Linked DNA regions of Oryzias latipes. The protein of the gene in region 1 binds, or shares a complex with, the protein of each later gene. Links are inferred from orthologs where the notes say so. Each region holds a gene or a part of one and is shown in the gene's direction. Other genes may lie near its edges.

The links.
Region 2: eif3j (region 1) and eif3f share a complex: the UniProt entries of both Homo sapiens proteins name them as parts of the eukaryotic translation initiation factor 3 (eIF-3) complex. The link is inferred for Oryzias latipes from reciprocal best matches to the Homo sapiens genes EIF3J and EIF3F.

The regions. Positions count from the first base shown.
Region 1 is NC_019861.2:18,399,360-18,403,876, reverse strand, and holds the start of eif3j (eukaryotic translation initiation factor 3 subunit J), read left to right. Parts: upstream 1-1,508; 5' UTR 1,509-1,556; coding exon 1,557-1,623; intron 1,624-1,760; coding exon 1,761-1,861; intron 1,862-3,276; coding exon 3,277-3,340; intron 3,341-3,414; coding exon 3,415-3,506; intron 3,507-3,586; coding exon 3,587-3,686; intron 3,687-3,871; coding exon 3,872-4,030; intron 4,031-4,138; coding exon 4,139-4,212; intron 4,213-4,335; coding exon 4,336-4,464; 3' UTR 4,465-4,517. Other genes in the region: stereocilin, read left to right, coding at 133-227. UniProt on the Homo sapiens protein: Component of the eukaryotic translation initiation factor 3 (eIF-3) complex, which is required for several steps in the initiation of protein synthesis.
Region 2 is NC_019875.2:2,469,706-2,474,137, forward strand, and holds eif3f (eukaryotic translation initiation factor 3 subunit F), read left to right. Parts: upstream 1-1,486; 5' UTR 1,487-1,527; coding exon 1,528-1,639; intron 1,640-1,924; coding exon 1,925-1,995; intron 1,996-2,584; coding exon 2,585-2,664; intron 2,665-2,748; coding exon 2,749-2,886; intron 2,887-2,968; coding exon 2,969-3,060; intron 3,061-3,231; coding exon 3,232-3,368; intron 3,369-3,480; coding exon 3,481-3,594; intron 3,595-3,776; coding exon 3,777-3,857; 3' UTR 3,858-3,918; downstream 3,919-4,432. UniProt on the Homo sapiens protein: Component of the eukaryotic translation initiation factor 3 (eIF-3) complex, which is required for several steps in the initiation of protein synthesis.

The DNA.
Region 1 (4,517 bases):
GTTAAGGGTTGTTCTTTGGTTAACTTACCTGCAACATGCCTTCTTTTGAAATGACAGTTGAATAAGGTGCCATTTTGCATGGCTATTGTGTTATATTAATAGGTCTGATTTTGTTTTTTCTGTTTCTCACAGGGAGGTCAATGGGCTTGGTGGTTGGCATCAATCCTTCATGTCTCATATTTGGACTACTGATGCAGCTAACTGTCTCATTCTGCCATGATACATAACCTCACTCTTCTAAGCTGCTTCAGGACTGTGATACAAAGCACAATAAAAAATATAAGCAAATAAGCAAGATACAGTTTTTGTGAAGAGGAAATAAGCAACATATCTGGAGTTCTTCATGTCATGTTTCCTGACATTTTAGTGAACGTTGTTGCAAATTCCCTTTTTTTTTCAAATTAGCTAAAAGTACAGCTTTGCTTTTGATATAAAAACACAATTATAACATTTTGCAGCGTTTTCATTTAAACCCCATATAAAACCTACAATAAATAAAAGTTAACATTTATTTTTCTAAAAACATGTATATTGACAAGGAAAAAATGTAAATTTTTTGCAAATGAAAAAATGTATTGACATTTTTTATTTGTCTGTATGTTACTGCAAACTGTCAGGTTATTTTGTGTATATAGTCAATAGTTAAGACTGGAAGTATTAGTGCTTATCAATGACAGTCTATTGTTGCTGTGAGTTTATTATTGTTGTGCTTGCTTAATTTTCTTTAACTTTTAGCTGAAATGTTCAGTTAAACCACTTGGGCTCTGAATGACTGTTACTTTATTAAAAGGAACCAACAATTAAACTTTTATTTCACAATGTATATTTTTACATTTTCTGTCTTTTGTTCTTAGATCTTCTCTCACTGATAACCTCAAATGTTTTGCATACATTTCAGGACTTTCGGAGGTCTAAAAAACAAATCCTGGCAGTCATAAGGCAAGAATCAGGGGACCGCAAACCCAACAGTAATCTATTCATCAGTCTTTTTCAAATATTATAAGTTCCGAATCATATCTAACAGGACAAATGTTCAATATTTATTCAAACCAGGGATACTCTTAGAAAAAACAAATTCATTTATTACTCTGTAATTGTTTAAAATTTTCTTTGAAATAAATCTCTGTTATCTTAGAATTTTTCTTTTGTGTTTAGTAACCTTGAAACATTATGGGCGTCCTGATTCTGTAGATCCAAGAAAAAACATATTTTTGATAGACATTATTTACAAGAACTTGTGAAGAAAAAAGTGGTATAAAAAGTTGGTCCACCTGAAAAGAAAATAGAAAAAAAAAAGATTAATAATTACAAATATTTATACGTTTTTCATTAATTGTTTTTATATTGTTATTTCTGCCATAGTGTTTACGTTTTTGAACATTTATAAGGGGGTTGGCAGTCGTTCCTTATAATTGTGAAAATAATCTAGAAATCATTTTTGTAAGTTTTTCTTTGTTTGTTTTAAATCATCGTGAATAAATTCCTCGCCTGAAATAGCTCTTTTGGCTCGGGGACGTCACATAAACTCGCGGTGACGTCAGGAGCAGCTACTGAGCATGCCCAGCGGCAGCAGCCTTCACGTTTCTCCGAGCCTGTCAAACACAGCCAACATGGCGGACTGGGGTAAGAAACTAAGTTGGGAATGGAATATATTTATACACCGTAGTCTTGTTGTAAACTTCTTTTAAAAGTTGAAAACTATATCACCATAAGATTATAGCGAGTTGTCTTCGCATATTGAATGTTTTTTCTTATTGTAGACGCCGAGACCTTCGAGCCAGAGGAGCCGCTTAAAAAGGCGGCAGTTGTTGTTGCAGTTATGGACAAATGGGAAGGCGAAGACGAAGAGGAAGATGTTAAGGTATGCCTTCATCATGTCATAGTCTTAACGTGTATATTTAAATTCAGGTATATCTGTATTGTTTTTTTAGCGGGTCGTTCACGAGAGTCACGCCGACGTTAGGCTTAAAGCAGATCGCTCTTGATGCCACGCTTCCTCCGTGTCCGTCAAGCCCAACCTTAGAACTGTGTTAGCTGTATGTTAGCTAGCGGATGGCTAACTCGCGTGCTTCCACAGACTGTCCAATGTTGAGCTAACACCAGCCCTCCGTCCGGGTTTCACTAAGTGACAACTGAACGTTGTTTTAGCAAACTATTAACAATAGAAATAATATCTGCTTTGGTTTATAGTTTAGACTTTGAAATATACTTTTCATTTTAGAGGATTTATTGGCATAGATATTTGCTAACAGTTAGCCTGTTTTGGACGCTCAGCTGGGCACGACGATGCTTATTTTAAAAAAGAAATGTCAGAAAAGTCCAACTTTTTTTCTTCTTTTTACCAAAAGTGGTAAAGTGAAAATAGGTGAATAATGGCAGTAACTGTGGGCTCCGGTCTGCTGACGTTAGCTAATAGCTCGCTTACCAACTTAGCCTCAGTCAGAGGAAATCATTCTCTCTGCTGATGATTCAACTCGGCCAAAAGGAGGCCTAGAATTTTCCGACTTTACGATGGCTGAGCAGGAGTTTTGAGCTGTTGCGGCTCAGCTGACACTGCAGCTCAGGTGGCTTATATGAAAATATCGTGTTTCTTCCCAAATAGTTCAGCCGTGGAAAGTCTTAGTGTAGGCCTTCCTGGGATAAATGTATATTTATTTATTTGGTCACATATGCCATGGTGTCAAAGCTTGGGAAAAAATTTACTTTTTTTTTGCTAGTAGTTTGCTATGTAAGCAAGTGTACTGTTTCATAAGTGATAATTGGACATGGATGGTCATTTCTGAATAAAACTGCTCTTTTAGTGAAAATATCTCATAAGTTTAAACTAACGTAACTAATTTATTAATTCATTTATTAAAATAAAGTACACTACCCACTACTAAAGGAACAGTAACCTTGTTTTTGGGGAAACATTAATAGTCAATAAGTACTAGGTGCTGTTGCAATTATTTTATTTAGGTTAATGAGTTTTATTTATTTTTGCTTAATGAATTGTTCTGTCATCTCATTTGAGATCACATGTTGTAAAAGCTTGAGTTAGGCTTCACAAAGTGGGTGAAGACATTTCTGTGGATTTGAGGGATAGGATTTGGCAACATGTTGCAAAAGACAAAGTGGTTAATGTTGCAATAAATGCAATAAAATAAAGCTCAGGAATTTCTGGTATAAACCAAATTAAGATAAACTAATTTAAAAAAGAAGTAAAAATACATTTTTAAATCAACCTTTTTTTTCTGGAAATAACCTAAATATGTTTTCTTTCTTTCTTTTTTTTAGGATAACTGGGATGATGATGAGGAGGAAGATGATGAGAAGAAAAAGGAGGAGGCGAAGAAACCAGGTACTATAATCATTAGGAAAAACTTGCATTTTTATGGGTATGAATGTTGAAATGTTTCAAACTTGTGTTTACAGAGACGAAAGTTTCTGATAAGAAAAGGTTAAGTGAAAAGATCAAAGAGAAGGAAAACCGGTTAAAGAAGAAACAGCAGGAGTTGCAAGAGCAAGTATGTGTTGCTATGGCCTTTTTTTATTTAAACGGTAAAACAATATTCCTATAATGTTATTGTTTTTTTGCTTTCTTTAGGAACAAGAGGAACTAACTCCTGAAGAACAACTTGCAGAAAAGTTAAGAGTGAAAAAACTACAGGAAGAGGCTGACTTGGAGTTAGCAAAAGATGCTTTTGGTAAGAAAGAGTTGGCCTCTTCATTTCTCTCTTTCCAGGAAGTTAAAAAGAAAGGATTTTGCTCTACACTATTTTTACAATTAAAAACATTTGTTGCACCAATGAAAAACTTTTTTTTAATGTAACTTTTTGTTCTTAGAAGACATCTAAAAACGTTTTTTTTTTTTTTCTTTCTCTCACCTCAGGTGTTGGCAGTGTCACCGGCATTGATGCCATGTGTCCATCCTCCAAAGAAGAATTCACAGAATTTGAAAAAGTGCTGAAAGAAAAGATATCCCAGTTTGAAAAGTCTGTGCATTATTCAAGTTTTTTGGAATCGTTGTTTCGGGAACTTTGTATTTCATGTAAGGAAGACCTCAGTTTCATTTATCCTCAACATCACTTCTTAAATGCCATTTTCTTTATAAATCCAAGCCGGCCTAATATGTGCATCTTTTTTCTTTTTCATGCAGTGGAAGTAGAGGACTTAAAGAAAGTCAGTAATTCCCTTTCGGTTCTACTTAGTGAAAAACAGAAACAAGAAAAAGTAAGTTCTTGATCATCTAAAAGTGACTACTTGTACAAAAGGGGGCGCTGTTGACACATGGCATTGTTGAGAAGTTTGTCTTCTCAATTTCAGCTTAATTTTTATCTGTTTTTGCTTTCACAGCAAAACAAGGGAAAGAAGAAGAAGAAAGGTGTTATAGCTGGAGGCGGTTTGAAAGCACAGCTGAGAGATGACCTTGACTATGCAGAGTTTGATGGTGGTTACGCCCAAGACTATGAGGACTTCATGTGACGATGGCTCCGTCACTGCTGTCTTCTCTCTCCCATCTTCAGAACTACAGCTGT
Region 2 (4,432 bases), on another chromosome or scaffold:
GTTATTGATCTCCTCCCTATTGTTGATTGTGTCCAGCAGCTATTGATTGGAACATTTGTTGGCTTGACTGAAGCCTGGAACAAAGAGGGGCACAATGATCAAATTAAATCATACCATCGACCTGTTGGGGCCATTTATTGTCTGAAGTAAATCGAATGATCCTCTTTAAAGATTGTCATAAATACAGGTGAACATTTACTGTTTTCTTTAAACCTCTTAAAGGCATTTGTCTCATGAAACTAAACTCTACAGACAAATAAATCTGTGATCTTGTTCCCTTAAAGACATCATGATCTCTGTGCACATCTGACCATGCACATTTAATGAAGCAGCCTTTATAAAACGCCTCGGGCTGGGTGCATGCGTGGTCCTTCAGTGTGTGTGCGCGTTGTGTAAGTGCACTTTACTGCTATTTTAAATTTTGAGGACTTGCATTATAGTCCTATTGGGATGTCTTACATAAGTGTCGGAGAGCAGTCTGGGTTAAGAAGGTGTGAGGGGAATATTTGCACAGTAAAATGGAGCGCGGGTCGTGCGTCCTGCGTCCAACCACAGCTGGTGGATGGACGCAGGAGACTGATGTAATTATATAGCGGCTATGAAGATGACGCACCACCTCAGATGGATGCATCAGAAATAGCCTCAGTAAAGGATGCCCGTGAGTCAGTACGCCGCAGAGAACGAGCTAAATCCTACCTGTTTGGTGCAGCAACTTGTAGATAAGATCTTCTTTTATGGGCAGATCAGGAGAAACGGGGTCCAAAAACGAGCCGGTTCTGGCACCTTTGTTTCGATGACACCCATTTCTGGTGTTTAGCAGCGACGCCGCATCAGTACACTCCTGTTCGCTCCTCCAGGAAAACAAAAGAAGAAGAAAAAGCACTCAGTAAACCGCGCAGGAAAAACCCAAAATCACGACCCATCCAGACAATTATCGAGAGTAAAGAGTTGAAGGCAGCGGGAGAACATTTGTCGTGCAGTGGATGTGCGAAATGGTGGCAGAGGGGCAACCCGGCAGCAGCTCCATCATCTGCGCGTCCGATGGAGTCGGTCAGGTGTGAGTGAGGCTGTGAGCGACGCAGGAGGCTGTCATCAGTGCAGCCCCCGTCCACCTCACTGCCTCAGACGCACAACAGGGAGAGACACCCCCCCCCGGAGCCTGTTTGCGGAGTTCACAGAGGAAATGTGGACTTAATTCACTTACAATGTAACCGCATACACCTGATTAACAGTGGACATAAAACATAAAATCAAACGCACTACATTCTTGATATAAAATAACATTAGTGTTGGTTTAAAAACCGATTTTGTTGTTTTTTATTATTAAAACACTTCTATTAAAAAACATTATTAGCAGCACTGTCAACAGCACAATCGCCCCCTGTGTATCTATATTTAGTCATATTAATAAAATATGTGTGAGTTTATTTTTAAATCTGTTCATTGGTTGCTGCCCATTCGGCCTCCAGCCTCTAGGTGGCAGTATATGTGTTCGCTCGAGCCGGTAAACGGTCCTCTTTTTTCAAGATGTCGGTGTACGGGCCAGTGGTGAAAATCCATCCCGTCGTTCTCGCATCTATCTGCGACTCGTATGAGCGAAGGAATGAGGGAGCCAGCCGTGTGATCGGAACCCTTTTGGGTAAGCATTAAATTCATGTTTACGTCTTGTCGCAGGAGGATGGATGTTTTCAGAGCGCTAGCGGTGGCTAGCATACGGCTAGCTTTAGCTTGCTAGCTAACGCACGCTGGCTTAGTTTAAACCAATGGTGAAGTCCAGCTGCTAGCTAGCCGACATGTTTTCAACATTACGATTTGTGTAAACAAAACAAACAAAAAAGAATTTTAGCGAGTGAATTGTCATGAATTATATACATAATACAAAGCATCTATATCAATAACGGTTTAACTTTTTTGTCGCTTTCAGGTACAGTTGACAAACACTCAATTGAGGTGACGAACTGCTTCTCTGTCCCCCACAATGAGTCAGAAGATGAGGTGAGTGTTAAACATTAGCGAAATTTAATTGTTTTGCACTTCAACTTAAGGTTAAAAATGTCTCAAACTTTATTTTCTCTTAAAATCTTGGAGAAAGCTTGTACCTATAGCATGATGAATCATATTGCATTTAAGATGACTTCTGTGTTTATTTGAATGATCGATACTTCTGTACTTCATAAATTTATGTAACATTTAACAGGATTTGTTTGTATTTGTTGCCCTTTTTAACACTTGCAGCTTGTTTTGCTGTGATGGCGTACAATAATTCTGCTGCTCAGAAATGATCAGTAAACTAGTTTGTCTGTCTTCAACACCTGAACTAACAAACTGAAAACTATACAAATGTGTCTATCCTCCTGACTACCAGCAATACAAATGTGTTCGGCTGATCCTTTTGCATTCACCTGATGCTGTGTCATCAACGTTATGCTTCATGAGGCGACTTTAAGAAGAATACGTTTCTAGTTTGAAACGGTGAAAAAGTTACTGCCACAATCCTATTTGTTTTCTCAACACACCTCAAATACAATGTGCACGTTCCTCCTTTTTTGAAGGAGTGATCTTCTGTCTGTCCTATTGACAACAGGTCGCTGTTGACATGGAATTTGCAAAAAACATGTATGAGCTTCACAAGAGGGTGTCGCCCACAGAGGTCATCATCGGATGGTGCGTTAGCCGTTTGTATCCGGATACCTATACTCAACAGCTAAAGTTTTCAGATACATTTAAAAGGTGACCTTTTTCCACCAGGTATGCCACAGGCTTTGACATCACTGAACATTCTGTGCTCATCCATGAGTATTACAGCCGTGAAGCCTCCAACCCCATTCACCTGACTGTGGACACGGCATTGCAGAGTGGCAAAATGAACATCCGGGCCTATCTCAGGTAAGCGGATCTGTGCTGCCAACTTGTGTCGTCGTGTTGAGGTTGAGAGGAATCTAAATGTGTTTGTGTATGTCTTACACAGCGCACAGATGGGTGTGCCAGGAAAGACCGTCGGCGTCATGTTTACCCCACTCACCGTCAAATATATCTATTATGACACTGAGAGAATAGGCGGTAAGCAGAAGATACTCTGGTGGTAAAAAGTCTTACTTTTGAGTTATTGGGTTAAAAAATGTTTGTCCCCGTTTCAAATGCACTTCAGAAATGTATGTTTGCGTTTGTAAGATTTGTTCAAAAGCAAATGTACATTTCTATAGCTGGACTTGAATATTTGTTTGTTTTTAGTGGACCTTCTTCAAAGGACACGGGATGCTCCGAGTCGCTCCAAGGGTCTGACCTCTGACCTGTCCCAGGTGGGTGGAGCTGCAGCCAGGGTACAGGACATGCTGACTACGGTGCTGGCATACATTGACGATGTGTTGGTGAGTATTAAGGCTGTCACAAAAAAAATAAAACAAGAAGACATCCTGTGTTGGCACATATGACAAAGTGAAGTGGGTGATCTCTGGTGAAAACCTGTTGGATCTGTTCCAGTCTGGGAAAGTGGCAGCAGATAACAGCGTTGGCCGGTTCCTCACAGACCTGGTGAACAAGGTGCCGACCATCCCACCTGAGGACTTTGAGAACATGCTCAATTCTAACATCAATGTAAGTGCTTCCCCTGATACTGTAATTACAATTTGCATGAGGTTTTTTTTTACCCTTTTGTACTTCTTGACATTGTGAAGATTAAAAGATACTAGCATCTGTACGACTGTGGAACTGGAATTGTTTCTGTGAAATTCAGTTGTGTGTATTTTCTACATGGACGTGCTTGTGGTTTGCTGCAGGACCTGTTGATGGTGACGTACCTGTCCAACCTCACCCAGGCACAGATTGCCCTGCACGAGAAGCTGGTGCTGCTCTCCTGAAATGAACTATTTAAACTTTCTTATTGTTTGGCTGAAGCAAATAAAATGTTAAACAGTCGCATCATGATGTTTTCTTTGGGGTGGGGTGGATCTTACATATAAGAACATCTCAAATTTAAGTTTACCACTAATTAAGAAAACATGTTGAGTATTTGTGACAGTGGTATTGCGTGTTTATTCAGCTTACATTTACTCTTTGAGGTTTCAAAGTGACAATAGTGTTTAAACTCTTTATTTCAGATTATAAAGAGGATTTGGTCAAATGCACAGAACTCTTAAAGTGGAGGAATAATTATGAAAAAACTTTAAATATATTTACTTTGTATTTCCTCAGTAACTTCATTTAGTACTTTTTGTCCTATTCAAGTAACAGTAGACAGCACGTGAGACTCCGTTAAAGTGTTTCAAGTTCTTTTATCCAAAGCAAAATATTGATCTTTATCATTAAATATACATTCAAATCCGTAGCAGAGGTCAATTATTAAAGGCAAAGTCTGGCCTGAGTAAAGCATGAGGAATAGTGCAGACATCAGAGTGGAACCTGTCCAGGTCCATCATCTACAGTACTAGAAAAG